Linked DNA regions of Lonchura striata. Each later gene encodes a partner of the first gene's protein in a complex. Links are inferred from orthologs where the notes say so. Each region holds a gene or a part of one and is shown on either strand. Other genes may lie near its edges. The genes, in order: KIDINS220 and XPR1.

The links.
Region 2: the proteins of KIDINS220 (region 1) and XPR1 are in contact, whole or in part, in a cryo-EM structure (PDB 9JXQ), measured with the Homo sapiens proteins. The link is inferred for Lonchura striata from reciprocal best matches to the Homo sapiens genes KIDINS220 and XPR1. Residues at the interface, in NP_065789.1 of Homo sapiens: Glu36, Cys37, Gln39, Asp70, Trp72, Met102, Trp105, Trp110, Tyr113, Lys114, Val138, Ile142, Trp143, Gly146, Arg147, Ser166, Asp167, Lys168, Tyr169, Gly170, Trp176, Arg179, Lys180, Gln198, Glu199, Gly200, Ala201, Ser203, Lys234, Arg267; in NP_004727.2 of Homo sapiens: Leu95, Lys189, Lys190, Gln193, Glu197, Ala200, Asn204, Glu205, Ala636, Asp637, Asp638, Leu641, Leu642, Gln644, Met645, Met646, Asp647, Gln648, Asp649, Asp650, Val652, Arg653, Asn654, Arg655.

The regions. Positions count from the first base shown.
Region 1 is NC_134605.1:98,452,008-98,467,454, reverse strand, and holds the start of KIDINS220 (kinase D-interacting substrate of 220 kDa), read left to right. Parts: upstream 1-8,646; 5' UTR 8,647-8,777; intron 8,778-9,118; exon of another isoform or gene 9,119-9,237; intron 9,238-15,447. UniProt on the Homo sapiens protein: Promotes a prolonged MAP-kinase signaling by neurotrophins through activation of a Rap1-dependent mechanism. Provides a docking site for the CRKL-C3G complex, resulting in Rap1-dependent sustained ERK activation.
Region 2 is NC_134611.1:2,183,043-2,198,768, reverse strand, and holds the start of XPR1 (solute carrier family 53 member 1), read left to right. Parts: upstream 1-9,356; 5' UTR 9,357-9,445; coding exon 9,446-9,514; intron 9,515-10,184; exon of another isoform or gene 10,185-10,564; intron 10,565-15,726. UniProt on the Homo sapiens protein: Inorganic ion transporter that mediates phosphate ion export across plasma membrane.

The DNA.
Region 1 (15,447 bases):
ATAATTTTTTTAAGTAAACACAAGCTGTTTATCCATGTGGGGTTTATTCTTAATTTTAAAGCAGCTACAAGATAATAGCAGAGAAAAATAATGCAGCTGGTTGATTAATAACTAACAAATTATTGAGAAAATTTTGTCATAATATTTTGAAACCTAAAGTTTTCATCAAATATCTAGCTCCAGTTGGATGAGTAGTCTTACTACCAGAAGTGCAATGATGGATATATCCCCAGCTTTGGGGATATTGCCATGCAGAAATCATCACAGTACTCCCTGAAGGACTATATCCTAAGTTAGGTCAGAGTTGTTTCCTTGCTGTCATAACTCTCTGGTCCTTGGCTCCTTGCCTAAAACTCTGGGAGGAAGAGGACATAACTTCCCATAAATGTAGTTTAGCACTAATTAATCTACTCAGAAAGGGTGAACTGAATATGAAATGAGAGTGGATTAGTCTGTTCAGATGAGGAGGGATGTTCATTGTTTCAGTGACAGCTGTATTATCTTTAAGATAAAAAAATCTGACTTCTAAATCCTTACTTTGATTGCCCAGGTAGACTTCCCCTAACATGGGGTTATGGTAGTCATACACTTCTTTGACACCACATTATGGTTTTCTTTTTGTTAATAAGTAAGAGTATGCTAGTTTGTTTCATCATCCTTGTTAAATACAGAATCAGGAAAGACATTTTTTTGCATTCTGCACTTGAAGGGGCATTTACATAAAGGAACAGAAAAAGATTTGCACATTTCTGGGTGGGTAAGTAGAAATAGGATTGATTCTTTCAGCATTGGTTACTCTTGAACTTAAATTCATCTTATTGGTGCAGTCTCCAGAACTATTTAATTGCATGCCATGTGATGTGCTATTTTCTTATTTATCTTCTCATACTCTTGATTTACTGTTTTGGCATGTGTGCTGTGGAGGCTTACTAATTCTTCTTTATGAAATATGGAAACAGTTGTAAAGGCTCCCAGAAAGTGAGCAGATACAGGGTAGTACAGACTGATACTTCAACATGAGTGAATTCAGAGGTACAGTTTTTTCAGAACTTCTTTATGTATGGAAGTTGAAACAAGGAAGAAAATACATTCATACTTTTGCTGAACACAACTCTACATACTTTCATTGAGAGCAGGTGGCAAAATACAGGTTTCAAGACTGGACATGACTTTTTTATTTCTGATTTGAACTCATTAAGTAATTGCACACAAGAAAATTATGACAATTAATTATGCACAGAGTTTAAGTATAGTGTCCTGGAATTTACCCTTTAAGTGCCACTGTTAGGTATTTGAACAAAAATCTGCTCTTCGTGAGAATGACTTCTCTTGAGGACTGTGGAAAAAACTGGTTTATTTTAATGGCGGCACCCTGATTTTAGTCAGACTGGAGTTTTGATGTCTTTCCCTCTGCTTTACTCATTTTCTGCCTTGCTATCACACTGGATCCTTTTTATCCATGCAGTCAGAAAGTCAAGAGCAGCCAGCCCTAATGCTTTAGATAATTTTTAGGTTTTACACACACCATTTGTTAATACTGAATTTGAAAGGATGGCAGTGATTTTTATTGCTCTTCCTGACAAAAATTGTAGAAAGTATATTTCCTATAAATGTTTTGGACATGAAGGAAACATGGTTTTAAAAGTATTCTTTCACTTATTAAATAATGTATATCCAAAAGTAAAAGTGTTTCCTGTATTGCAGATCAGCACACTATGAAAAGTAAATGCAACATATCATTCATAAGTTTATGGTGCTTTGCAGATATTTGCCTATTGTGAACAGTTCATTCAGGCAGTTAATGAGTTAATGTTAGTTGGTAAATGTAGTCACCCCGATAGTAACTATTTGCTTGCTTAATGTTTTTTAACTTTTATGATTCTGTATTAATGAGAGAGATATATTTTACATATTTAAATAATACTTTCAGTGGTGCCCACTACTGTAGTAATCAAAAAGGCTTTTTAGCTTTGCAGTTACAGATATGCCCTTCTTAGTTGGGAAATGTATTCTTCCCTGGTCATTCCTTAAGTTGTCATGTAGACAAAATTTCAGTCATTGGTGACATTTGAAAATGTATTACATGTAAAAATATTGGTATGCATTTCAATAAGTTCTTCATAACAAATCACACTTTAGTGAGAATAACATGAAGAGACCTTGGTATATTCCCTGTTCTACACTGATATACGGTATAAGTTTTACCAATATAGTAAATTATTTATTAGAGGAATTTTACACTGAAGAACTTGTTCTGTTTCCCCCAGGGGAATAAGTAATATTAAAATAAATGCTAGGCTTATATGACAGGATGCACATTAGGTAGTTTTGCCTCTTTTGATGGCATTGATTTGGATAGTGGTTAAATGTCTTCTGATGCAGAGGAGATGTTTGAGATCATCACCTCCTGTCTAATTCATATCAAAAGTAATTTTAACAAAATTTAGATTTTTTTTCTCTCAAACTTTGCAAATGAATTGTTGACAATTTGTTTAAATACATGGTCAAATGTGTCTTCACGTTTGTATAAAAATGTGTAACTTGCTTACATGTGAACTTTCACATGTTCAACTTTATAAGTTGGCCTTGAAAGACATTTAAAAGCACAAATTACTATAATTTAGGCTTTCATTTCCCTTATCTTTAATTCTTTCACTTTGTAATTCTAATTGAATTCTGAAATTAGGCTAGAGAATTTGATTTTCATTGGAAAATTTGAAATACTACCATCTATGTAGAAAAGTGATCAGTGTTAGAAAAACAGAAATAAATTTGAGGATTTTAATATGATGTAGACTATGTATAAAAAAATACACACTAGTTCTGTGCTGATTCATCACAGCATTTAACTACATGATTGACCTTTATGTATTTATTTAGGTCCAATAATACTCTGAACTGCACTTGGTGTATTTTTAAATTTTCCTGTTTAAAAATCAATTGATAAGTATTTCAGTAAGTATTTAAATGCTACTCTGAATAAGTAAGCAGGCACTCTAGGGAATTGAGCCTACTCTCATAAGATTACCAGGTCTGTCTGCACCACAGCTAGTTTGCACTGTCCATCTTCATCCTCAGAGTCTTGGTGGAAAAGGATGGCAGTGGAGAAATCTCTGGTTAGAACATGTTCCATCTGTGCCTGGAAGGCTTTGCCACAATTCCTGCAGGGAGCTAACCCTGTGTGCAGAGCTTGGCAGAGGTTCTACTTGCTTGTGACCCAGGCTGCAGCTGCTCTATACTACATCTGACTGGATTTTTGACATGTTTGCTGTTCTAATCTTGATATTTTGCAAACACCATGAAATCCAGGCATCCACAAAGTCTCCCTGCAAAGTTACAATAACAAATACTGCAACACTTGTTTATTATGGTCAAAGCTAAATAAAAAAAAGATTTCTTAAAAACTTGTTTCAGAATGGGCTTTTTGTAGTTTTTTTACAAAATCTAACCACCAAATGTATCCATTTTCATCACATTAAATATTTAAACTACAATTTTGCTCAGTGTAGGTATACAAATGTGCAAAAGCAAATATTGCCACTTTATCATCATTTGTGCATTAGCTGTGTGTCCAGTGACTTAGACCTGGTTTTGGTTGTAGATGGTTTTAGATTTTCTGAACCCGTGTACATATCCATATAAACATTGCATAAATTTTGAACTGAAAAACTGTGTGACTTCAGACTGAGGTCTGAGGTAGGGCTACTTCTGGTTTTTGTCTTGTTAGTGACTCAGTCCAGCACCTTATTCCAAGCAAACCTCTTGGCAAAAGAGACCTCTGCACAATCTTCTTCCTTCCTTTTGTTCTCTAACGGGAAGGTACCCCAAGCTGGATTTTCATTTAGGTTTCACTGTAATACGTCATATGAATAGATAGCTGGGGTCCATGCTTTAGCCAAATTAGACTTGAAAACAGGGACAGTGTATGTATTCTGAAACAAATAGAGAAAATGGGGTGCCTAGAGACTGGTAATCGGAAAGTGCAACACTGCTTATTAAAGGTGCAACAATTACTACAATAAGTTAAGGAGTATTTGCCTATGCATCTTTTGCCTTTCTCTGTGTTTTTCAGTTCTCTTTACATCTTTTCTTTGTACCTTCTTTTGTCCAGTGGTGTTGACTATTTCTGTGGAGAATCTGCTGATGTGTCTTACTGTGACAAAGGTGTCAAAATGCTACAATAGTAATTAGGTAGTTACTCTTAAATCCCAGACCTCAGATATGTTCTAGATCAGTTAGAAGAGAACATTCAAAATGTATTGGATGAAAAATAGTGTAAGATGGGTAATATAGCATTATTCAAAGATGTTGTAATAAGTTATTCAATTTAAGAATTTAAAATATGGAACTTTATTCTTTCCTGCCTTGGTTACACATTCAAAGGAATAGGTTTACCTCAATGCAGAAGTAGTTATGCTTCCAACCACCCGTATGTAAAGGTGAGAGAACACCCCTAAAAGTGGATAGCTACAGTATTCCTAAATTTGCCTTTCCTGGTTCAGATTATAATACATTGTCAGTGAATTTAATTTTTATTATTCCAAAATATATATTTTTTAAAAAGTGTTATTTTTCAACAAATCCATAAACTAAGTGTTGATGTATGGTAAAATCAAAATACCATTGTTAGTTACACTGTGATTGTGATATTTTAATAATTACTTATTTCTAATTTGTCTCAGCAGTGCTGCAGAAGCAGCATGCTGTTATGTTTTAAAGGTGTTTTTAACTTGCCTATAAATGTTCTTTTCTAATTTGTGTCTTTAAATCTGATTAAACTGTAGTTTAAAAAAAGTGAACTTGTTTTACTAAATTCTTTGCTGTCTATCTTTAGTGAGTGGTGAAGAACAAAGTTATTTTAATGCATTTTCTCATTTTAGATTGCTAAATACACATTGCATGCATTTACACTTATTTGGAATGTTCTAGTTCAAAATTACATTTATTTAGTTTGTTTTGTAGAGCTTATACACAAGTATATGTATATAATTATTTTTCAGTAGAGCTAGCGACCAGAATTATGAGTCTAGCCTCTTGTTAGTTAGGAAAGGTGCTTAAGCAATTTAAACCCTCCATCTGGGAGCATGTTGCTACCCAATGAGTGCTACTTCTGGATATGACAACTGGGGTGTTTTTAGCTTGAGAAATGGAAACTTCATAACTGAGAAATCAAATTTGGTGCTTTGCAGAAGCTGTTGCTTTAATTGCTGGTTCCAAAGCAGGGCTAAATGTGTACCATACGTGCACGTTTTTCGTCTTTTTGAAACTCAGCTACCAGGACTCTGATCAGGCAGTTTCTTCTGTTGGCTGGTGACAGTATGTCAAAGCTGGCTGAGACTCCTGGACCTGCAGGTTTTTACCATGTAAACTTAGATTGTTGGAGAAGATGAGAGATATTAGGTGTCCCTACTAAAGAGGGGCTGTTTTCATAACTTCCTGTCTCACAGTGAATAATTTTCTCTCCATGTTTAGAATTCTCTTTTAGCAAGTGGTATCACAGGAGATGAAAATACTTGCCATTCCAACACAATGGACTACAGATGCATTTTTAGAAGGTCTGGTGTTGTCATTTTAACCAGAAGTTAGACTTCAATGGAAATTGCCTTCTCAAATACGCATTCACAACAGAGTCAGTCAGAAGTATGAAGTGTCCTCATGAACTCAACACTTGCATTTAGTGAAAAACTAATTTGAAGATATTAAAACACAGCTTTCTGCTACTAAGTGTTGTAAATTGTTAAGTTGCTGCACAGAAGGAGTCATAATTGAGAGCATCCTGGAGCCAGCAGATATTTTCTTGTGCCTATAATTAACTTAGTTCCATCTCAGTAACTTCCTGATAACATGCAGGATGTTTCAATATGGAATACAGACATAGTTCTAGAAGGAGATGCCTTCAACCTCACCACTAGGTGAGAGTTGGAGATCTGTCCAGAGTTTGGCAGTACATCTTACAGCTCTTTGGTCATATATAGTAGCAAAGGAGTTATTTCTCCATGTGGGCTGCACATGATTTTTCCAAACTGAATAAATAACAATTGCACCATGTTTCACTGCATATGTGAATTAGTCACTGGTGGGAAAGTGTTGCTCCTCATCTAAGCATAGGGTAAAATTTAGAAGAGCACAAGGATGTTAGTAGCTGGATCCATCTGTAGCAAAAGTGCATGATTGAAGGACTGTACAGAAAACTGCCTTTTCTGCCTCCACATTCACAGTGTTTGTACAGTTCCTTTTTATGCAGAAGGGAAGGAGCTACTGTTTCTGCCTGAAATTTGTAACTACATGGTGAGAACACAGCTAACACCTGATGGGTGCGAACACTGTGATATGGGAATAAGGATTTGGGTGATGGGAGATTATGAAGTGAGATACTAATACACATTTCTGTATAAAGTGTGAAAAAAGGGTAACCTCTTGAAAATGTTTAAAAATCTATAAACCTTAAGAGGCTAACACAGGCAGTCTTGTTAGACTGGTTTCTCTTAGGTGCACAAGATTATATGGGTGCCTGAAGCATCAGGACCACTCTTCCTTGAGTAGTGGCCCTTATGCATATGTTCAGGTGGTGCAGAGAGCCCTTTTCAGCCCCACATTAACTGCAGGGACTCATCCTCCATTTGTTCACATTCCTTTTCTGCAAATTAGTGTAAAGAAGGAGAATGTGTTTTATGTACTTAATTTTTCCCAGTTTTTCAGCTGAACCAATGTTTGGGTGCAAGATTAAATGGATTTAGCTTTTGAATTTCACTGCTTGTGCCTTTGCTTTGTATTAACTTTAGAGCAGGTAAGGAAGCTGTATATTTTATCAGGACTTTAAGGTCACTGGAGAATTCCTGCTTAAAAAATGGCAAAGCCCTTGCTGCATGGTTTCTGGTTTATAAATATTTGGGGTGTAGAGCAAGCCCTATCAGATGTTTCTTTAAGAAGGAAAGAGTCATGGCTCTTTACTGAGATTGAAGATCTCAGTGTTGTAAAGAATTATATGATTGCTTTGACCCTTGAAATTCAGTAACCTTAGAAATATGCAGTACTGTGGGTACTATGCTCCTTTCCCTGGCTGGTTTGTTGCCATCGTTGGTTTAGGCAAGGTTCTGTGATCTCCTGGAGATATGTCATTGGTGTAGTCATCAGAGATCATCTCTCATCCAGTTGTCCATATGAATTAAACATATCCATTATGGATTTGGACTGTGCTGAAGATGGAAATTTTAAAAATACCCATGAAGCTACTTGGACATTGGGTTCTGGGGAGTCTGCAAGAAGTTGGTAGGTCTCAAGGCATGTGGTGGTATTGCAAAATGTGCATTATGTCAAAATTATCTTAAATCAGGATGTACTTGATATTTGGTCTTTATATACTTTTAAGTCTACTCAGCAAGAAAGGAGACATAATCAGTAGAAGAGACAGCAGCTAGTATCCCTTAATCAGGACATCCTGGAGCTAACAAGTAAATCAAGACGTTGATGTATGTCTATGTATATGTTGCCACCTTGGCAAAAGACTCAAGGTCCATGAATCCTATAGTTGGTCTATCTTCATTATTATACTAAAAAGCTCTCATGAAGTTCAGAAAGACCCTGCCCAGGTGAAGACCCTTCCCCTGAGCATGCACAGAAATCAGCTGGGATTATGTAATTTGTATGAAAATGACAACCCAGCCATAAAGATGGAGCTGGACTTGGGAGGTTACGGACACAACTTCTGTGTATAAATCACAGAAGCACAAAATATTCTGAGTTGGAAGGGACCCATCGGAATTATCAAGTCCAACTCCTGGCCGTGCACAGTACAACCCCAAGAGTCACACCAGGGGCCTGAGAGCATTGTGCAAACCCTTGAACTCTGTCAGCCTCGGTGCTGACAACTTCCCCAGAGAGCTGGTTCCAGTGCTAAGCAGTCTCTGGCTGAAGAACCTTTTTCTAACATTCAGCCTCAACTTCCCAACTCACCTGTTGCTGTTCCCTCAGGTCCTGTCACTGGTCACCACAGAGGAGAGAGAGATCGGTGCCTGCCCCTCCCCTTTTCCCAGTCCTGAAGCTGTAACTGCAATGAGGCCTCTCCTCACTCTCTTCGCCAGACTGAATAAGACAAGTGACCTCAGCCACTCCTGGTATTTCCCCGGCTCAAGGCCCTTCACACAATCTTCTCTGCCCTTCTTTGGACGCTCTCTGACAGCTCAATGTCTTTCTTATACTGTGGTGCCCAAAACTGCCCCCAGGGCTCAAGGTAAGATACCTTTCCGCGGCGCTGCTTTCCAGCCTCTCGTTCCCCAGTCAGTCCGTAATCAGGCACCAGTTGTTTACTACCTCTTCCCTGTTTCCATCAGAAAGCAGCCGGGGCCCTGCAGGGCGGTGCCACCCCCGGGCTGCCCAGCGCTGCTCAGCCGCGCCCCCTCTGCGCCGCCCCGCGCCGGGCCGGCGGTGCCGCGGCGCTCCCGGGCAGGGCGGAGCCGGTGCCGGTGCCCGCTGCTGCCGCCGCCCGCGGTGCCGGAGCCGGTGCCCGCTGCTGCCGCCGCCCGCGGTGCCGGTGCCGGTGCCCGCTGCTGCCGCCGCCCGCGGTGCCGGTGCCGGTGCCCGCTGCTGCCGCCGGGCGCGGCCGGAGCCGGGCGGAGCCGCCCCGCGCGTCACGGCCGGGCGGGCGGAGCGCCGCGGCGGAAGATGGCGGGCGCCGCCGGGCCCAGCTGAGCGGCGCTCGGAGCCGCCGCCTCCCCCCGTGCCACGCTGCTGCTGGGCCCGGGCAGCCGCCGCAGGGGCCGAGTGCGCCCGGCCGTGGGGTGAGTAGCGGCGGGACGGCGGGGGGCACGGGCCGCGGAAGGGCAGGGGAAGGGCACGGGCTGTGGGGGAGGCGGCGCTCCGCTGCCAAACAAAGGCCGCCGGGGGCCGCTCCGGGCGGGCCCCGGGGAGGCGCCGGGCTCGGGCGGTTCATGGCCGCTGTGGCCCGCGGGGCGCTCCCCTCACGGCCCGGTCCCCTCAGTGCCGGGCCGCGGGTCGGGAGCGGCGGCGCGCCCGCCGCGCTCTGCCCCGGGCATCCCGGGGCTCCGGCGGCGCCGTGCGCGGGCGGAGCGGGCTCGGTGTGGGCGGCACCGCCCCGCGGGGCCGCGGGCACGGCCTGGGCTCCCCGGCACCCCTGCCCTGGGGTGGGGAGCCTCGTGTACCGTGTTTCTCTCTTGTTGACTCGGAAAGGTAGATGAGGGTTCGACTCGCCAGGAAAGTTTTTGGCATCTTGTTTCGAAGGTAAAGAATAGCAGAATGACTGAGGATGGGAAGGACCTCCCCAGGTCATAGGGTCCAGTTCTTCTCCTCTAATAGGGACAATAAGAATGGGTCTCCCAGACCGTGCCCAGAGGGCTTTGGTGTGTCTCTAGGAGGCTCGGCAGCTTCTCTGGGCAACTTGTGCCAGTGCTGGGTCTCCCTCTCAATAACAGCGCTTCCTGATGTTCAGACAGAGACTGCTTTGAATGCAGAGAAGGGTCTGGGGCACAGATCCCGTGAGGAGAGGCCAAGGGAATGCCAGGGGTGTTTAGCCTGGAAGAGGAGACTCAGGGATGACCTTATCACTCTCTACAACTATCTGAAAGTAGCCAAGTGGGGATCAGCTTCTTCTCCCAGGTAACAAGTGATAGGACAAGAGAATGTATCCCCAAGGTGTGTGGAGGGACTTTCGTCTTGGATATTTGGCTTCTCAGAATGAGTGGTTAGACATTGCAATGGAGTGCCCAGGGAGATGCTGGAGTCACTGACCCTGGAGGTGGTTAAGGAAAGACCACTTAGTGCCATGGTCTAGGTGACATAGTGGTGTTCAGTTGCAGGTTAGACTCAGTGATTTCTCAGAGGCCTTTTCAGTTTAATTGGTTCTGTGTTTCAGTTTCTACCCATTGCCTCTGGTCATGCCATAGGACATCACTGGAAGAGTAGCAAAATGTCTTAAAGGTCTTTGCCACTTTGCATATATGCTTAAAAATTGGTTGGAAAAGTGATTTCCTCTCTATAACTTTGGGTAAAGGATTAATGGTGGAATAATACAGTAATATGTCTTCTGCTGGAAAAGTGTTTGAATCGTTACCTGATTAATTACTTGACACTCCCCCCCACCACCATCAAACAGTAAAGAAATGGACAGAAAAACAGAAGATCTTAATGTGTAAGAAAACCCATCTTTTGTCTACTGGATAGGCATCTGTTCTTTGTTCTGCCACAGTGTTTATTTAAAATTAATTGGTTATTAGGTAATTAATATCTGCTTGAAATTCTGTGTGACCACAGCTTCTGAAATGGTGCCATATTAAAGTTCTGTATCACACCGTTCACTCTTTTTAAGTGGAAAGCACTCCAAAAGATAATTTTTTTGTCATATTGTTTCTGTGACTAACAAACCTTTGATTTTATGATAAAGAGAAACGTGTTGGCCATATGAGATTGTAAGGTGTGATTGCAGGGTTTCTTGTGCTTTTGTGTATTTTGTATAGATTTTGACAATTGTTTTGTATTGGTTGGTATAATTTTAAGAAACCCCTTAATATTGGAAACTTACTGTTTGCTTTCTTTGATCTTATGTATTTAAAACCTGAAATTGTGATTTGTAGGACTGAGCACCTTGTATTTTGTTTAGGAACTGAATTTTGTCTTAGAATTCAGATGTTCTTGGCAATATGTTACTGTTCATTGACCATATTTAAATTTTGTCTCGAAGGTGGACAGATTTCTCTGATAAAATATAAATCCTCATGTCAGCTACTTCACACATTATTTTAACTGGTTTTTTTAACCAGGGTGGAACATAGGCATGTCTAATAGTTGCTATCATCTGACAACCAGCCCTGCATTTTAAATATCAATTTACATTTTTGCAGTCTTTTATATGTAATCCCCAGCCTCTTTTGTTTTATTAAAACAAACAAAAAATCCATCACTACAATATTTGGAAATGGCTGTTGCCTTGAGTCCATAAGGTAGAAAAGGATTTGTGTATTTCCAATTTCTTCTACTTCTTACTGTGTGCAGATTTGATGGTTACCGTAGAGACCTCCTTTTGTGCCATTTTTTTTGGTTATATTGGTTTCTGGTCTCATAAGAACAATGCGTGTCTAGCTGTAGTTCACTTTTTGTGTCTTTTGGTATTTTAGGATTACACAATTATGTTCTTTGTGATAAAGTAACAAAAAATAAGGTAATTTAAAAAATCTCACCTGGATAACAGAAATGTGGTTAAGAGAAGTAGAATAAATATTCCCAGATAAATATGGAAAAGCAGAAATGCAGCATAAGGTCATTAGTCACACTGGAATTTCAGACACTGGAGAAGAAGTGTGGGTGTAGACTACTTATGGAAACTTAGATTTGTTATTTCTCTCTGACTCTGGATACCAGAAATTAATATTTTTAGAGACTCATTTCAGCTGTTCTGAAAATTTCTTCTTTAAACAGATTCCTGGTTGACTCAGTCCCAATAGAAAGAATATTTTAAGATATTTGCCACTCTGTGTGATGCCTGACTGTTCATGTGTAGGAAGTATATCAATTTAGGAAGGGATTTCAATAAGGTGTCGTAAAGGCTGGGCAATGCTTGTGTTAGTAAGATTCTGTGTACTGTAAGTAAAGGTGATGTTTCAGCATGTTTTCAATTTCTTTACACCATCATAAAGCATAAAAATGTGTGAGAATATGAAACTGGCTTGTGTTAGTTTTTTATAGTAAATTTCATGTGTACAATTCTTATGTTTCATGTTCTTTTAATTCTAATTTGAAAAGATGGCACTTCCAGTTCTTAAGGGTGAAATGCTGTGCATTTACACATTTGATTTGTACGTGCTCAGATTTCAGCAGCATAATAATTATTTCCTTTTATAGTTAGCTGAAAGATCTGCCGCAGTGTTGCATGTTGGGAAGGTGGCTTTTGTGTCTGGAAAAGGAAGGAGACACTCAAAAGTAGGCAACAGTTTCTTCATTGTATGATGAAAACTGCAAATTTAATGTCATTACTATCTTGACTTTATTTTTTTTTGTTTTCAATAGGTGTTCTCAATAATGCTAGAGTTGTTGACCAGTTTTGATATTTATTCGTAAAAGGTAGCTGTTTGTACAATAAAAAAAAATGCAGAAGATCTATGTAAAAATTGTTAGAAAATTTTTGCTAGAATTTTTGCTAGAAAATAGTTGGAAAATTTAGTGAGTTATATTTCTTATATAGTTAGGAACTCATTAGAGGTTCTGAGAATACATAAAATAGCTGCAGATTTGGGTTATCAGGACCTCTGCTGTCAATACTGCTGTTGTTGAGACAAACTGTTTTGTTTTTTTTTAATTGACAAATTTTTGCAGTCTGTCGAAAACAGTGATAATGTTTGTCTGCTTCAGCTGAGGATGCAAGAGCCTTACAAAACCAGGTTAATCCCTGTGCAAACACTGCCTTCACCTGAGCATTTGTGCACTTTATATGATTTCATAGTTCTTGGTGTGTTATTAGTTTAATAAAATATCAGGATTTGCTGCCGAAGGGCATTGTGAGATTTCCAAGCTTGAAAGTTTGCATTTTGACTAAAGAGCAGTTTTTTTTGCACTGGAAATTAGCTCACTTAGGTGGGAGAGAAAAAACCCATTTATCCTTATTGGAAAGGGGATTGGTTTCCAAATAGAATCCTGGTTTTAACTGAAATTTTTGTTATAGGTTGTGCAAATATTTCTGCTGTGTCAAAGAAAGTAAATGTGTTAATTGAGCAATTAAGGACCACTTATGTATAGGATGTTCTTGAATGATACTGGTTTTGCACTTGTATTTATGAAATTTGGCAGGGATGAAGTTCTCATCCTTTAATTTGGTCAAGGGTAAGACTTAGAGTTTTCTTTTTTTTCCAGAGTTGTTTGAAAACCATATGGATATATATTTCAGGACCTTTCTTCATTAGAGGGACCAGAGCAGAATTACTTCTCTAGCCAGCAACTGTTCCTCAGAGTCTTGCTTTCAGTTTTTATGATTATTTAAAAGAAAATCTGAAGCATTGGAAGAAATCACACTTTAGTGATCAGCACCCCTTTGAGTACAATGCCTAATTTTCATAACATAATAACATACATCTTGTATAATAAGAAGGTGGAGTGTGACTGCATTCAGCTGATGTTGAGTTGCTGTCATGAGTATATAATGAACAGACCCAGTCAGGCTTATTTTGGGCATGTTCTTTGTTCTTGCTGGGAAAGAAATAAAGCAAAGTTTCCAAAAACCTTAATACCACTATTTTTAAATTCATCTTTGTTTCTGGAATGATGGGGAGAGTTTTGTTTGTTTGTTGGTTGGTGGTTGTTGTCCCTAAACTGTGCTTTCCTAATTCCCTCCAGTGATGTTAATCTTTAGGATGCTCTAAGCTTTCCTGAAAATGGGAAAATAAAAGCATGAGGATATAAAATGCATAATTATAATATTTGATCTTGTGATTCTTGTTTTTATAAAATAGACTATTATTAATTCTAAAAAGTGACAGTGAAACACAGGGGACAAGAAACATTCTTGGATATGTTACACTGTTGTAAATCTTTTATAATTTATAGAAGTAACATTACCATGGAGGTTATAAACACATCTCTAGACATGTTCATTGGCATCAGGTATTTTGCTGTCAGTCAGAGGTTTAAGCTGTCCCTAAGGATTCAGCTCTGCTTGAAGGCAGAAGCTGCACTGTCGCCAATTGGGATTTCTGAAGCAAGCTGGATGCTTATCTACAGTGCAGCAGGGCTGCCTCTGCCTTTTGGGAATATGCCCACAGGGAACATCAAGGGAGAAATCTTACTTTGAGGAAGAAGCAATGCTGAATGCTTTCTTTTCACACTAGATAAGAATTCATTAGTGAAGTTTTGATAGCAACTGCAGAGTATAAATCATTTGGGGAGACATTTTTAGTAATGTTTTGGGGATGTTCTTAATACAGTTCTCAATTTAGTATTTGGTATGGAAAATAGCATGGGAATTGGTGGTACAGCTACAGGAGAGAAGCTGGGAGATAGCACAGGAAAAGCAAAAAATGCCTATGGTAGCAGTAGAGCTAGCAGCTAATGACATTTCATGGATTTCTTTTGCCTTATATAGAAAATAAGGGAGGAATACAGGTGTGTGTGAATATCTAATGTAATTTTAAGTGCTTGAGAATATCTGAGACACCTGCATAGGGCTGTAAGATGCTGCTGAAAGCTGTTAGGGTGGTGGGCTGTCCTGGACTGGCAGCTGGATGCCAGGCAACATGCTAACTTTCCTGGTATTTTTAGTGTCTGAAATGGCAGTAGGAGCCAGTGTGTCCGCACTGAGTCAGTAAAATTGCCATTTATTTTCAAACCTTTAGTAGTTTGGGTGATTAGTGGGTTTTCTGTTTTTAAGTTTGCAACCTCTCAGTTGGCTCTTCCTACTGAAAAAAAAATGCAGACAAACATATCCCACCACTGTTGTGCTGCTCACTCCCTTTGATGGTAATTTAACTGTACAGTAAACGTGACAGCCCTTTTGTGGTCTTAGTTTATTTATAGCTTTTTTGTGGGACAGACTGGCTGCTTGGGCAGTGCCTAGGAAAACTGCTGCTGGGCTTTATGTATCAAGTCTAGATTTTTTCTTTTTTTTTTACTGGTTTTAGGTGTGGGTTTTAAACAGTGTCTGTAGTTTCTTTCGTCACTAGACATTCATGGGCACCTGAATTTCATTTGCACATACAGAGATCTGCTGTCATCTTAACTGAGGTATTACCTGGCCTTATTTTGAACAAGACATTTCTGTATGTGGGTCATCTGATGGTTGCAGTACTGTAGGTGAGCTCAGGTAGTATCTAACATACCCTGACAACAGTATGTATGACTATATGTACTTAACTTGGTAAAGGTGAAACTATGTTGTTACAGACTATGTAAACAATTTAAAGTGGAACTGGATTATTTTATTTAACTCTCCAAATCTAAACTAACTTCTCTGTGCTAAGCACAGTGAAGTTCTTGCTGACTTCCTCTCATCTCCTTTTTTTCAATGGAAGCACAGAAAAATTCATTGTCTGCTTTGATTTGAGAATAAAAGTAAGAATATTTGCTTTGGAAAGCCACTAATCTTTGGCTTCTCCCTGGGAGAGAATATCCTAAGAGGTAGTCTTTAGCCAAGACTAAACTGGAGGTTTTCCTCTGCTGTTACAGGAAAAAGCCAGAGAGTATGATCATGTCAGCCACTGGTGAGGAGAAAGGTATGAAAGTGTGGTGGAGTCTTGTATTTAGGCCCTATTCTGCATCCAGTGAAACTTAATTTAGGTGCAGTGAGTGACTCAGTTTCTGTCACTATGTGTGTATAAATTTGGCACAGTAGTACTACTGGTGCTGTCAACTTACTGGGCATAGCTTTTTTGGAAGTCTGAAATGGTTTTTAGTGGTCTGCCTCAAGAAAGAAAAACTTGCTATCTTATTAGAGGTTAAAAACATAATCAGTTA
Region 2 (15,726 bases), on another chromosome or scaffold:
CTCCTCTGGTAGGTGCTGAGCACTGATCCCCAAGCATGCCCCAAGCCCTGCTGGGCTGACATCAGCACCAGTGTGGTTGCAACACAGAAACTGGCCAGAGGTGCAAAGGTTGTAGCTGGAGTTGTGCAAATAGTGAATCTTTCTGTGGAGAGAAATATCTCAGCTCTAAGTTTTTTGGTTTGGAGCAGCCAGATGAAATGTTGTGTGTATTCTGTTTTCTAAATGGAAATTAAAAGGAGAAATTTTGGTTTGGTTGACCTAGAGTATTTTGTTTGGTGTGAAGAAAACACCACAACATTTCTTTTTGTTTCATTTTATTCAGCTATACTTAATCTATCCTCTTTCCTTTTTTTTTTTTTTTTTTTTTTTTTTCATCCAGCAGGAAAATCTGGCTGTTGGACCTGGAGAAAAGGAGTGTCAGGGGAGACCTTATTGCTCTCTATAACTCCCTAAAAGGAGGTTGTGGCCAGGTGGAGATCAGTCTGGTTGCAAGAGACAGGATGAGAGGAAATGGCCTCAAGCTGCACTAAGAGAGGCTCAGGTTAGGAAAACATTTTTCAGGAAAATGGTTGCAAATGCTGGAATAGGCTGCTCAGGGATGTAGTGAGGTCACCACACAACAACCACAGCAGAGCCCTTAGCTGTGAAACAAATCCCACATGGTTTTTTACTGAAAAGAATGAAAGAAAAAGTCACTTCTTATGTGTGGGGTTTTTCACCAGGATAATGATGAAATTTAGCTCAGTTTTGATGTTTCAGTTGCCCAGAAATTTTGTGGAGAAGACAGAGCTGAGGTGTTCAGCAGGAAAGCCCAGCTGAATTTGGGCTGCCACTTGCACACTGCCCTCAGCTCACATTGAGTGAATAATGCTTTTATTTGTCACTGCCCTGTCACTGCAAGACTGTGGATGTCCCTCCTTCCCTTCTCCATCTCCCCAGGCAGGGTTCTCTGCATGCCTCGGGTACCCAGCTCCCAGATTCCCTGGCAGCTTGCTGGCCACTGCTGAGCTGCCTGGAGCACACCAAACACCCCCCAGGCAGGAGATCTGGTCTGTGCTGCTGGAAAGAAGTGCCCAGCAGTGATCCTGCTGGGATGCTGTCCCCACCTGCCCCCCACCCTGGCCTTACCCGGGGGCACCAGGAGAGTTTCTCCCCAGTGAGTGCTTGGACCTGCTGTTCATCCCTGCAGAGCCCCTGGATAATCCCCTGTCCTCTGTCCTCTCCAGGGAGATGAACACCACCAGATGAGCTCTCCTTACATCCTGCATCCCTCCCCAAACCCTCCTTGCTCCCACATTCTTCCCTGGAAGCCTCCCTGCACTGGGGCAGGGATGCAGCTCTGGAAAAGCTGCTCCTGCTGCCGGCTCAGCTCTCCTGCAGCGTGCAGAAATGGAAGGGAGTGCCTGTAATTGCAGCTGTCAGGAGTAACAATCACAGGGCTGCTGTTATAAATGGCTCCAGCCTGACTTTTACTTACAGATTTCCCTCACGTGATGCCACGAACCACAAAAGATAAAACCTGCACCACAGAAAGGTAATTTCAGCTTCTGGCTCTGTGGAGGGGGATTTGTGCCTTGTTTTGGCTGTAAAATAAAGCAGGCATGGTGTGTTGGGGAGTTTTCATGAACAGGGTGGGACTGCTGGGGTATGTCTTTGAGTTTTATTTGCAGCATCAGCCTCATTACACGGTTGAGACAATGGAAAGATGGCAAAAGCTCACGTACAACTAGCAGTAGCTAGAGATTTATTTGCTGCAGAGCATTTTAAAAACTTTCTGGCCAACAGCATATTGCCAAAGCTTACAGATAGTTGTTCTAGTTAATTACTAAAAGCACACCTACACCTGCTTCACACAATGCTTGCTTGTCTGCTCTCTATTAACAATACACAATACACAAGTTCAGAGTTTTCTATTCTTTCTCTTTCTAAAGCCAACTTTTCCCAGCTTTCTAAAAATCTTATTACCTTTACTATTTCCCACAGCATGGCTTGGGCTGCAGGTCAGCATGTCCTGGTGGGGCTGGGGTGGCTCAGAAGAAGGGGACACCCAGTGTCTCCTCCACGTCACCCTGCAGGGGCTGAGCCCAGGTGTGAGAGCCCCTGCCCATTCAGTGGCCCCTGTTAGCCAGAGAAGGGTTTTAGGCTAATTCCTGCCAGATTTGTAAAAATTGTGATGATGTCTGGAGACAGAGAGGATCTGCAGGGCATGGGGGTCTCAGGCTGTGAGGGTGACCCTTGCCAAATCTGCTGGCATTGCTTGGAGGCCTGAAGAAATTCCAGGGAGTCCCACATAGGTGTGGTTTGTTCCAGGGCTAATTTCTGTGGTGAGGACAAAGCCAGGCTGTGTCTGGCTCACAGCTGCCATCAGAAACCAGAGATCCAGCAGAGCATGGAGCTCCCAGCATGGACTTATCCAGAGCTGGGATGAGAACCCACCTGATGTGCTGCCCTCTCTCTCTGCCCTGATGGCACAAGGACCTCTGGAACACATCCCTACTTGCTTTAAATGATTGTTTCTGATCTGACATCTGTCCTGAGGCTGCAGGACCTGGACCTGCATGTTGTGGTACCTGTGGATGATCCAGACTCAGCCCTGGTGCATAAGGAAATGATCCTGAGGTATGTGATTTCCTTCTCCAGGCCAAATGAGACCTCCAGGGAGGAACAGACAACCTAATGCTGTCCCAAGAGATGTCCCAGCTGACTGGAGCACAATGTCTGGCACCTGCAGCCCACTGGGGACATCAGCAGGAGATGAAACCCTAAGGATTCTCTTGACTCAGGGCTCAAGCTAGGCAGGGTCAAGCCAGGTTTGGCAGGAGCAGCTGTTCTTTCCCTAAAACCACAGGATCATTCAGGTTGGATAAACCTCTAAGACCACTGAGTCCAACCATTAACTCAGGACTGCCTTGTTCACCACAAAACATGTTCCTAAGCATCACATCCACACTTTTTTTGAACAATTCTAGGGACCTGGGTTCTACCACTGCCCTGGTTTGCCTGTTCCAGTTCTTGAGCACAATTTCAGTGGAGAAATTTTTCCTAATATCCAATCTAAATCTCCTCTGGAGCAGCCTGAGGCCATTTCCTCCAGTCCTGTCAGAGAGGAGAAGAGATTTACTCCCACCTGGCTATAGCCTCTGACCACAGCCCTTGCAAATAGGAAGCCTGTGGCCTTTTGTGCACTTTGATAAGGTCCAGAGGTCGTTAGAAAACCCACAAAGCTATGTCAGGATTTCCAAAAACTCTTAGGAAGTCCAGCCAGCTTTAGAAGTCTCTGCCACAGCTATTACCACACACCTCAAGCTCTCTGGCACTCAGTTTTCATTGTCATTATTGACACACTGGATAAGAGACACAAGTTCAATGCAGAGAATTGCAGTGACATCCTCCAGCATGTACCAGCTCTGGTGTCACACAGGGACATGGGCTGCTCTTCCCAGCAGGACCTCTCACACGGCATGACCCCAGTCCTTGGCTGTGTCATGGGAGTGGCACAGGAAAGAGGAGTTCCCCCAGCTTTTTCACTGTGCTTGTGGCAGCTTGGTGCCTGCAGCATCGATGCACCAAGAAATGCCAATATCTTGTGTTTCCAGCACAGCTTGCTGTGACTCTGGTGTGACAGTGGCACTGGCTGTGTGACCCAGCAGCAGCTCCATGGATGCTGTTTCTCATCCCAGGTCACCTCCATTCCTGCTGTTTGGTGGGTTTCCTTCACTCCCCTCATGTGGTGTATTCCCCTGGGAAAGGGCCAGCGGTCAGGGAGGCAGGAGTGTGTTTAACAAGGCAGGTGAGATTGGTGTAAACAGGACAGGAACGGTCCCAAGGCCACCTGGCACTATACCAGCCCCTGTTCCCTGGAAAACATCCCAAAGGGATAAGGGTCTGTGCTGCTCCAGAGCACGGTGGGGTAATCTATGCATGGTGAGGTGCAGTGGGGACAGCTTCAGCAGGGGGATTTAGTAGTGCAGCAGTCCTGGAGATGGATCAGGGATGCTGGAGGCACTTCCCAAGCTCTCCTGGAAGCAGCCCAGGCAGCCCTGGGGCTTGGAGGAAGCAGCTCTTATTTCTTCTCTAGTTTTAGACCTTTTCAGTGCGTTCAGTTTTCTTAACCACTGGTCAGCTGCTGTCTTCTCACACAAAGCAAGCGTGCAGAAATTAAAGCAGGCACGTATATGTGGGTTGGAAAGCATCCAGGAGCAATCACTTACACACCAGGGAAGGGCGTGAAACCCCCCCCATCTGCTCCCGGATTGAGGCAGCACAGCGAGTCCCCAGCCCTGGCACAGCTCCCAGGGGCTCATCCCAGCGGGGCACGCTGCGCTCCTGGCAGCCCCAGGGCAGGGAACCGCCGGGGAGGAGGGCTGATTTCGGAATTTCCAGGCAGGATGCTGCCGAGGGGACACGTGTGAGCTGCCAGGAGCTGCCGGGAGTCAGACCAGGAAAGGTCACCCGGTGCAGAGGCAGCTCTGCTCCCAGCACAGGGCACGCTCCTGGGAAAAGGGAGCTGCTTCTTTCCCCCTGTAGCTGCATCCCTGAGTGTTCCAGCAGCAGCCAAACCTATAAATGGGTTTCCAGTCAGGGCGATGTTGTTGCCTGGTGTTGGGACTTTTAACCTCAGGTGTGTAGCCACGCATGGGAAAAATCCTCTCTTGATGATGTGCAAGCTCAGCAGGGCATGGTTACAGCTCACAGACCCATGTCTGCATGAGCTGCCCCATCCATGTGGGGAATTTTGAGTCCTAAATCCACATCTGAGATGGACTCAAGTCCCAAAGGATCAAATTCAGTCAGTCAAATTCAAATTGACCCTGCTGCATCCAAGGTGGAGGAAAGCACAACCCCTCCTGGCAGGTCTCCTCCTGAAACAGGGAGAAAAGCATCATCTTACCCACCTTGGAAAATCTGCAGGAGCTGCCAAGGCAGTGTGTAGAAGAAGATGGATGGATACCAACATCCCTGCCACTGGAATCAGATCAATCCACTGCATTATTATGTCCTGGAAGCCACTGTTTCCCCTGGCTTTACAGAACTTCCTGCAGGCGGCTAACCTGGCTGTATAAACACTCTGCTCCCAGTCTGACCTTGTGCACTGCCTCTTCCCTGGGGTCTGGGACCCCCCCAGCTTCTAGTGCTCATCATCACACCCTCATTCGTGCTCCAGGGAGAAGAAATATGAGAAAAATCAATAGCTCCAGCTCAGGGGGATATGTGCATTTTTGCACTGGGAAATCTGATATATCGACCCCGTTCCTCAAGACAGCCATCGATGGAGCTGGTAATGGGAGGGCTCAGGGCTGGGGGTTCCAAGGCCAGGGCTGATGCTCTATTGATCCTGGCAGTCAGGGCAGCTTCTCTTGGTGTGATTTACTCAATTCTCTTGTTGTTCCACATCAAGCTTGTTCCCAATTTGCTTTTACGTCTGTATTTATTTATTCCTTGTTTTCCTTGCCAAGCAGTGGCAGTGAAGCCTCTGGGTCATCCCTCTGGAGCAGGAATCCCCACATGGGCAGGGCAGGGCAGGGCAGGGCAATGAAGGATGCAAAGAGCAGCGTTTGGCCCTCCTGATGCCTCCCCTGCCTCTGCACCAAGGCTGGGATGGTCTACTGCTCCCAAAACCCTGGGATTGGGCATTACTTCTTTTGTTTTCAGTGGAAAATTGACTTTATCTGCTCAGATTCCACGGATGTTGAATGACAAGGGAATTTAGGGCATTTTGTAAATCACACCAATCCCCCTGACCCCATGGTCCAGGCTCAGCCAATCCTGCTCTGCTCATGGGGCCAGGGATGGTCATGCACTTCCTCCCATGCCAAGTGGAGCCCCTAAATATCCAGGCATCTTAAAATCCTTTTGCCTGGGGAAAAGGTGGGAGGAGGTCCATGGGTTTCTTGCATTGTCTCCTGTGATGGAAAACCCTCCTCTTTGTGATTTTATGAATGTCAGTAAAGCAAATTTTCCCTTGGCAAGACTATTTTTTCTAAAGCCTTTTTTTTAAGACTTCTTTTCCCCAGCGATGCAGAAGCTTTAAAAGTATAATTATATATTTTAAAAAAATCCCACCATGCTATTTATAAATTATTCTATATGCTCCCAACAAAGCAAGTGCCAGACTGCACTGGCGGAAAGCCCACTCCTTGCTTGGTTTTAAAATGCAAATAACATTGCTTCTGTGATTTTTTTTTTCCTAACTACAACAGCATGGGGGAAATCACAATGCAAACTCTTTCCTGGAAAAAGGAGAGAGAGAGATGAGGAAAACGTGGCAGCCTTGTGCAAGGGAGGTATGGGGAGTGAGATTCAGACCTGAGGTACAGAGACTGGGATCCAAACTTGGGCTGTGGGGACAGAGATCCAGACCCAAGACTAAGATTTTTGGGCCCAGCATCCCTCCTCAGTGCTGCCTGGATTCCCCCTGCCTGCCCTCCACCCAGCCGTGGGCGGAAGGCAGTAGAGGCATGGAAGAGTGGTGGCCTTTTCTCTTTCATTTAAGGCTTCTCCTTGCCCTCTCTCCCTTCCTGCATTCCTCCCCCAAGCCTGGATGTGCAGACCTACGAGTTTTGAAACCTTTAGAGGAGTTGGAAAGCCCCAAGTCCCAGCAGAGCAGTGAAACACGAGGATGCTTAGTGTGGTCCCAAGGGGTATCTGATAACGGGAGGCAGGGATTTGCCAATCAGATATTTGAATGGAGCTGTTTCTACTGGGCAATGGTGAGCAAAGAACCCAGCTTCTGCTCTGCCTCCCCTGTTACCATCTGTCTTCATTTAATGATAAAAAAATAGCATTTATTGATATAAAATAAATAAAGGGTGGGGGGGATTGCTGGTTATTTTCCATCATGAAAATCACCAGCTGTCGTATCAGAAGACATTAATTTATTATACACCCCAGTACGTATCCCAGGCAATGCCTCCCGCAAATAACAAAGAGAATATTTATTTCTTAATCCTCTTTTCTGCCCCCCCCGCTGCAAGTTATCTCCGGGAGCCCGACAGGATTCAAAGGGTCGGGCTGTGACATGCCAGCTGTGACATGCCAGCTCCCCGGGGCTGGAGCAGGCTCGGCCCGGGGCGATGTCACCGGTGTTATCAGGCACAGCTGATGCCAAGGTGAGGCATGGAAAAGCCACTGACCTGCGAAATGTAAGTCAAGCTGTGCCACTCGTGCCAGGGCCAGCGCCGGGCAGGCTCGCTGAGCGCCAAGCGTCGCAGCGAGGGCACGAAAGCTCCGCTCGTTTAAAGGGTTTGCTGCAAGCGTAATTAAGAGATGGTATCAGCGAGAGCCAGGCGAATCTCAGCCCTCGCAAATCACAGATCCCCGAGCCTGCACAGGACCCCCATAAATCTGAGCAGCAAACGAGCTCTGCGGGTGTCAGGGGGAGGGATGCTCCGGCAGCTGCTGCCAGGGAGGGACCTTGTGGTGCCGAGGGGATGGGATCGGCCCTGCCGAGGGTGGGAAAAAGATGAAAACTGTCACACCAAAGGTTGGGAGGCTTGAAGGAAACCAAAATTCATTTCAAAGGAGGTAAAGCCCCAAAAACAAGCAGCTGGGGAGTGGCAGGGTTAGGGCCACTGAGGATCTTTGGGATAACCAAGGGTTGCAGCCCCCTGCCAAGTGGCTCCAGTTTGGTCCCTCAGGCCATGATCCAGTGGGTGCCAAATCCCCAGCTCCAGGGGTGTCTGTTCCATGGCAGACATGGCCCTGTGCAGGTGGGTTTGCTCCAACAGCTGCCCTGGAGTCCCTACTCCCCTCATCCCAGCCTGGCACTGATGGGCAGTACAAGGGCAAAGGCGGTGGAGATCATGCAGCTTTTGGAAAATTTTCCCTTTCCTCTCCACACCCTTTATTTTCCCCTCTTATCTTTCTTTCCCTTTTTTGCTGGTCTCGTGTGGCCCGTCAGACCAGCTTCCCTTCTCCCTCAATCCTTACTTACTCTTTCCTGCAGTTTCTCCTATTCTTTCTCCCATCTTCACCTCTGTTCTCTGTCTTTCCTCTCCTTGATCCCTTCCCATTCTGCCACTTCTTTTCTCCCATGTGCACCACTCTCCCTGCTACACTTCTCCCCTTCTCATCCCCTTCCCATTTCACCTCATCTTCACACCATTCCCTTTTCATCACATCCCGTCCACATCCCATCATATGCTAATCTCATCCCATCCTATTCCTTTTCCAATACCATTCCAATACCATTCCCATTCCCATTCCCTTCCCATCTCATCCCTGTCCCCATCCCCACTCTCATCCTATCCCATCCCATTCTCATCTCCTTTCCATCTCATCCCCATCTCATTCCCATCTCCATTCCCATTCCCATTCCCATTCCCATTCCCATTCCCATTCCCATTCCCATTCCCGTCCCCATCCCCATTCTCATTCCGTTCCCCTTCCTGTTCCCATTCCCGTTCCCATCCTCATTCACCTTCCTGTTCCTATTCCATGCTCCTGTTCCCATTCCCATTCCCATTCCTATTCCCATTCTCGTTGCCATCCCCAGTTGCATGCCCGTTCCAATCCCCGTTCCTGTTCCCATTCCCATTCCCATTCCCATTCCTGTTCCCATTCCTGTTCCCATCCTCGTTCACCTAACCGTTCTTATTCCATATTCCCATCCCCATTCCCATTCCCATCCCCATTCCCATTCCCATTCCCATTCCCATTCCCATTCCCATTCCATATTCCCATTCCCATTCCCATTCCCATTCCCATTCCATATTCCCATTCCCATTCCATATTCCCATTCCCATTCCCATCCCCGTCGCAATTCCCATCCCCATTCCCATCCCCATCCCCATTCCCATTCCCATTCCCATTCCCATTCCCATTCCCATTCCCATTCCCATTCCCATTCCCCGTTCCCGTCCCCGTCCCCGTCCCCGTTCCCGGACATCCCCGCACTCCCGGGGCTCGCGGGTGACGCTCCCGCGCCCCAAACCGGACCCCGACCGCGCGCGAACCGCGGCGCCCCCCGGCGGCGAGCGCGGGAACGGCGCGTCCCGCGGGCGGAGCCGGGCGCGGGCCCCGCCCCGGGGCGGCGGTGCCGGGGACGGGCCCGGGGCGGAGCCGGGTTCAGGCCCGCCCCGGGGCGGCGGGGCGGCGGTGCCGGGGACGGGCCCGGGGCGGAGCCGGGCGCAGGCCCCGCCCCGCGGCGGTGGGCGGGCGGCGGTGCCGGGGCCGCGCGGTGCCGGTGCCGGTTGGCTGCGGGCGGTGACGGCGGGAGGCGGTGGCGAACATGGCGGCGGCGGCGGCCGGGGAGGCGGCGGCAGCGGCGGGGCGGCGCTGAGGAGGCCCGAGGCGGGCTGAGGAGTGGCGGGGCGGGCGGGCGGGGGCCCATGTGCGGTGGCGGCGGACCCCCCCCGCCCCCCACTACCGACGCCCGGTCGCAGCCAGGCGCCGCCGAGGCGGCTCTGCGGGCGCGCAGCGAGCGCGGCCCCGGCCCGCCGGCAGGATGAAGTTCGCCGAGCACCTCGCGGCGCACATCACCCCCGAGTGGCGGAAGCAGTACATCCAGTACGAGGTACGGCCCCGGGCACCGGCCCCGCGCCGCGGGGCGGTGCTGATGGAGAGGCGGCGTGTGCGTGTGTGTGTGTCCGCCGCGGCGGGCAGGCTGCGGCGCTGGGCACCCCCCGGCCGTCCGCTTCGTTAATTACGGAATTAATTACCGCCCGTAAGCTCTTGCCGGGGGACGGAGGTCCGGGCACACGCGCGGCACCGGGCACCCCCCCGGCCCCGGCGGGGGCTCGGCACCAGCGCCGGTTCCCGGAGGAGCGGTGACTTTGAGCGCTCCCGGCCTCCCAAGGGCGATCCCGCTGGGCTGGGCAGCTCCCGGCGCCCTCCCTGCCCTGCCGGCGGCCACCGGCACCGCTCTGGGCTCCCCCGAGCCCCCCAAACTGGCTCCGAACCCCCTTCAACTCCCCGAGCCCCCCAAAACTGGCTCCAAACCCCCTTCTACTCCCCGAGCCCCTCAAAACAAGCTCCAAACCCCCTTAAACTCCCCGAGCCCCCCAAAACTGGCTCCGAACCCCCTTCAACTCCCCGAGCCCCCCAAAACTGGCTCCGAACCCCCTTCAACTCCCCGAGCCCCCCAAAACTGGCTCCGAACCCCCTTCAACTCCCCGAGCCCCCCAAAACTGGCTCCGAACCCCCTTCAACTCCCCGAGCCCCCCAAAACGAGGAAGGCAGCAAACCTGCATCAGCTCCGGTTTTATGATGGTTTTTAAGTAAGGCTCTGCAGCTCGCTGTTCCACACTCCAGTCGGGGCGTTTATGAGCACTGTTTGCACCAAGTTCTGCTGCATTAATCGTGAATTATCTGCAGAACACAGCTTTTTCGGGCTTTATCACGGCAGCCTGCTAAAGGTCATGCTGATTGCTTCGTTTCGGATTTATCACACCGATTCTGGGCTTGGTTGGAACTGGACGGAGCTGGAGGTGGTTATTTGTAGTAAAACCATTTCCTATTTCAATGTCAGCAGTAAAAGTGGCAGGTGCCAGCGATGTCTTTTCCACAAGTAATAATTAAATCTAGACAACGGAAAGCTGATTATAGGACAGCCACGATCAGCAAAACTTCTTGACTGATTGACTCAGTGAAAACCACGCAACATTTGTTGTTGTTTGAGGGCCTGTATTTTATCCCTAGGACTATAATAGCAATTTATTTATGCTATCCATATTAATCTGTCTGCATTGGCAAGGAAAGCCACATTTATCTTAGCTTGCTTTGTTATAATGTCGAGCTTGAGAAGTTTATATCTATCCTTTTCATTCTTCCTTTGTTTTCCTTTACCTGACTGCAGAGGAACGGATGTTTAAATAAAAGCTGCAGTTGGATTTGGCTTTACAACAATATTGTGATCTCCTTGAATTATGTGGAAAGCTAGATGGCCAGATAATGCTATCAGTCTTTGAGGTGGAGGAAAACCATTGTCCTGGTAAAATAAAGGGCCAGCTTAGTTCCGCATCGTGTCTCTAATGGGTTATCCCTGTGAGAGTTGTCTTCTGTTCCTGAAAACAGAAAACTTGGGTATCTTCCTAAGAGCAGCTTTGGAGATGTGTTGGAGAGGAAGGCAAAGGGGAAATAAAAGGGTGAAAGATCTAGCTGCATGCTGAGCAAACAGCTGTGCAGAGAGGGGAAGGAGACCCAGTGAACTACGACACCTCGATTAATGTGTGAAGAGCTCTGCTGCTCGTCGGCCGCTGTTTTCATTATGGGAGGTTAATTTTCAGCCGTTTTAACTAGGGCACTATGATTATGTCATTCTCCCTTCCTGCAGCCCAGTTTAAGATGTAGATTTCAGTAAAAACTTCCTTCAAGTCGTTGCTCTTTCTAATCACAAGTAATCCCCTCCTTGGATAGACAGCTTAATGTGGAGTGAAGGAAAATACCAACCTCACCTTCCCTTTCAGTTATAACTTTCAAACTCTTTGTTTGCCTTGTTGCAGCTGGCTGGATGCGAGTCAGCCTCCTGCTTGTGCATATTAGACTGATGGAATAGCCTGGCATTTATTATTCAGTAACTGGTGGTCGAGTGGGTGCAGTGCATAAAAGCCCAGCACCACCTCCATTTACTTGTTGATTATACCTGGAGCAAAAAGCACCCAGCCTTCCTTTGTCCAGAAAAATTCCCAGGTGTTGATTGGCAACTGTGAGGGTTAAACTTTGCCTGTGTTACTTGTGTGCAGTGCTGCTTTACAGAAGGTGTCACAGTAACATTTTCAAAGGTTATTTGTATATTTAATAGTGTTATAATGTTTCTTCTCCTCACAGTTTATATGTTTTCCTTCTTAATTAACACAGGAACCACCTGAGTTCAGAGATCTTCTTGGGTAGGTTTTTAACTCTGAAAAGATTCTTCCTGTTTCCAGGATTTCACATTCAACATCACAGAATTCTGGAATGATTTGGGTTGGAAGGGACCTTAAAGATCATCTTGTCCCATCCCCTGCCATGGGAAGGGGCAGCTTCCACTATTCCAGCTTGTTCCAAGCTCCATCCAGCCTGCCCTTGGACACTCCCAGGGATCCAGGGGCAGCCACAGCTTCTCTGGGCAACCTTTGCCAGGGCCTCCCTACCCTCAGGGAAGATTTTTTGCCTCATATCTGATCTAAGCCTGCTGTCTTTCAGTTTGAAGCTGTTCCCCATGAGAGGACTAAAAGATGATGCAGAAATTGCTTTCTCTAAGTCGTTCTGTATCATAAAGCTTACACGCCCTCATCTTTATTTTCCACTCTGGTATTTGTGGTCATTTCCACTGGAGAGCAGGTGATTCCTGGAGCCTGGCAGGACCCAGGTAACCTGTGAGATCCTTCCATGGGATTTGGAGCAAGCTTTGCCTGTCAGACCAGGTGTAATCTGTTGGTGATAACCTTGGAAAGAGGAATGGGATTGTTGCGTTTTCAATACCTAAAAGTGTAGTTTCACTTTCAGGTGGTGTTAACCAATTGACAGCCCTCAAAACTTCTGACCATCCACATGCTCTTTCCCTCCAAAAAGAATCAGTTTAAATATTCTAAGTGTGCTTGTAGGAAATGTGGTAGTTGCCTGAGCTTAGGGCTGGCAGTCAGGGTGAGAGCTTTAGGGAGAGCAAAAAACATTCATTTTCTTTAAACAGACATAAGTAAGATATATTTTGGTATTATTTGCTTTCAGTAAAAGCTCTGCAGTGACCATTACTGTACGTCTAAGCTCTTTGAGAAGGAGCACTTGGTTTACAGAAAAGAGGGAAAATGGCAGTGAATGCTATTCTGTTTCATTCAGCTTTTCCCAAAGACATTTACCATGACTGAGCCAACAATAATGTGGAGCTTTAAACCATGATGGACTTGATTTGGCTTTCCATTCCAAATTTCCATTCTAAAGATTGCATGAAATGATGTGGATGTGCCTCACCCTGGCGGCAGCAGTGGAGGGCTTTGCTCACCTTGTTTTAGGGGGTCTGGCAGTGCATTTTCTTCTGTAAAGTGAGTCACATTTTCCTAGCCTGTTAAACTACAGCTGTGATATGCACTGCTTCGGTGTACATTTTTGCCTTGAGAATTTTGGGCCACTCACTTACCCCTCAGTTCCTTTGGAAAAATATGAAAATGAAAAAAATGGAAAACAGGAAAAACATGAAAACAAACACAATCCCAACTTTTTGTGTCAGATGACTGAATTCTCATTTCCACATAGTACTGAACAAATTCAGGTAACTCTTGCATGAATTTCAGCTGATGCTTTCTTTTTTTTTTTTTTTGGCTAGGAGTGTGCTCTGCTGCATATAATGCTCATTTTTGATGCAGGGAAATATTTGGGTTGCTAGTCCTCTATCCAGAAATCCTCCTGGGTTCCTTTGCTCTCGTGTCCCTCTCTGGATTGCTTTCAGGAGGAGAGCATTGCTCAGACTTCTAAATGTAAATGTGTATCTGCACATCCAGCTGATGGAACTGTACAACTCACTTGTCCAGTTGCCAGATGGCTGTTTGGTTGCAGTAAATCTGGCCTGAAATTGTTTCTCAGCAGAAGTTTGATGGCATTTTTATAGGAAAAATACATAATACCTTTGAAATCACAACAGCTGTGGAGGGAGGAGCAGAACAATTATTACAGGTGCAAAGTTCATGGGAGAGTTGGGTAAAGGTGTGAGCAGGTGACCTCCCTTCCCTTTTTTTAATGGTTTTAAGTCATTTTGCTGTTGCAGAAGAGGAACAGGTTGCTAAGTTTTAGGCGACATTTCTCCCAGACACCACCTGCAGCAGGAAGTGGGTGGGGGCAGAGGATAGCTGAGGTTGCCTGCTTGCCTTCAGAGTGTCTCTTGCAGAAACGCTTTCAGTTTTTGGGAGGTGGCCAATTCTGCTGTCAAACCCAGCTTCATGATAGGCAGTTCACACCCAGGCTTGCCACCTCCTGACACAAATCTGTTGTGCTATTTCACTATTTGTCCTTCGGGCTGTTAGCAGACGAGCTAAGTGGTTTGAAAGACTCCTTTAAAACAGTGGGTTGTTTTTTTTTGAACGTTTTAAGGTTTTTGTCCTTGATTTTGTTCACTGATAAGGTCTAATGGTTGCATTTTCAAGTGTTTTCTTTTTGCCTTTTTTTTTTTTTTTGTTCCCTTATATGTATTTACACAAGTTGACTGATGGTGTAAGGTGTAGCACTGGCACAATCTAAAGCAGGGAAATAACCCATTTTGTTTAGTTTGAGGGCACAAACAGTAATTCTTGAATGTTTCACATTGACAGTGATGGATAACTTTTGTAAATGATCGGTTCTAAGATTCTGTAATCTAGAGGACTAAATAGTTTAGGTGTGAAGGAGCACTGAGTGTTTAACTTTCAGGTTATTGGTTTATTTATATAGGTCAGGAAAGCAGTAACAAAATCTGCTGCCCTGCAGCTGCCAGATTGTACTATGTCAGTCTGCATGGGGAGAGGTCTGTGGGACGACTGACACCTTCAGCTTTCAAGATTATTTAGTGCAGGACTGTCAATGTTGTCCTTTGTAATTTGTGTTTTTAAAAAATGACTGATAAAACCAGAGATAGGCATTATACCGGGTTTACCTCTGGTTAAGAGATGAGTTGTTACTACAGTGACTTTCAATATGCTGTCTCTTCTGGTTTGTTTGTCTTGTGTCACGTCGTGGTTCATGGAAAAAGTTACAGGTAGGTGAGGATGATGACTGGGATGGAAAAGGAGGAAGATTTTTTGGCTATTTGGTGTGCAGAGACAGATCATGTGCTGCTGACCAGTGAGTCCTGGGGGGAAGGGACTGAAGTGGCCAGTGCTCCTGAGCAATTTTAGAAAAGCACCAAGAGCAGAGGAGAGCTGTGCTGCTGGCATGAGGATCATCCAGCAGTGGCTCAGTTGGGAAAACAATTATGCAAGTGACCTTTGCTGAGACCTCTGTGGACTCAGGAGCCAGACCTTTGGGAGATGCCAGAGCTGCCGGTGTAAGCAGCCACCTTGGGTATCTTGTGATAAACAGACTTGTCCTTTAGACCTTGTGTTTACCCAATGTGTTACAACAGCATTCAGTTCCCTGCTGCTGAGCTGATGGTTTTTACCTCCAGGGTGTTGGGGGATTTGTCATTTAACCTAGGAGGTTTTATCCTGGGGCACTGTGACACACACCTCTGCTTCTGCTATCTTTTGGGGTTATGGAAGTATGGGATATGCTAAGAATCAGGCAGAATAGATAGGAACTGAGAAGACCTGAATTACTTTTTTTGTTTTACATTTCTGTGGGCTCAAAAATGAGGGAATAAGGTCAGTTTTTTGTGGTGGTGGAGGAGGGTACTCATGTTCAGTATGGGTATTAAGGTGTGAGGTGTGTATAAGCAAATCACTTTGCAGTAGGAATGGGTTCTTTGCTCTGGCTTTTAGTTCCAAAGTTATGGCTAAGGTTATTCATGAAGTCCTAGAATGCTTTGGGTTGGAAGGGACATTTAAGATCCTCTTGTTCCAACTCCCTGCCATGGGCAGGGAAACTTTCCACTAGACCAGGCTGTTCCAACCCTGTCCAACTTCAAGGGATGGGGCAGCCACAGCTTCTCTGGACAACCTGTGCCAGGGCCTTACCATTCTCACAGTAAAGATTTTTTCCCTTATATCTTACTCCAACCTGCTTCTGTCAGTTTGAATCCATTTCCTCTTGTCCTGTCATTCCTGGCCATTGTCCAGATGTTCCTCAGTTCTCTTGGAACCCCTTTAGGCACTGGAAGGGGCTCTAAGGGCTCCCTGGAGCCTT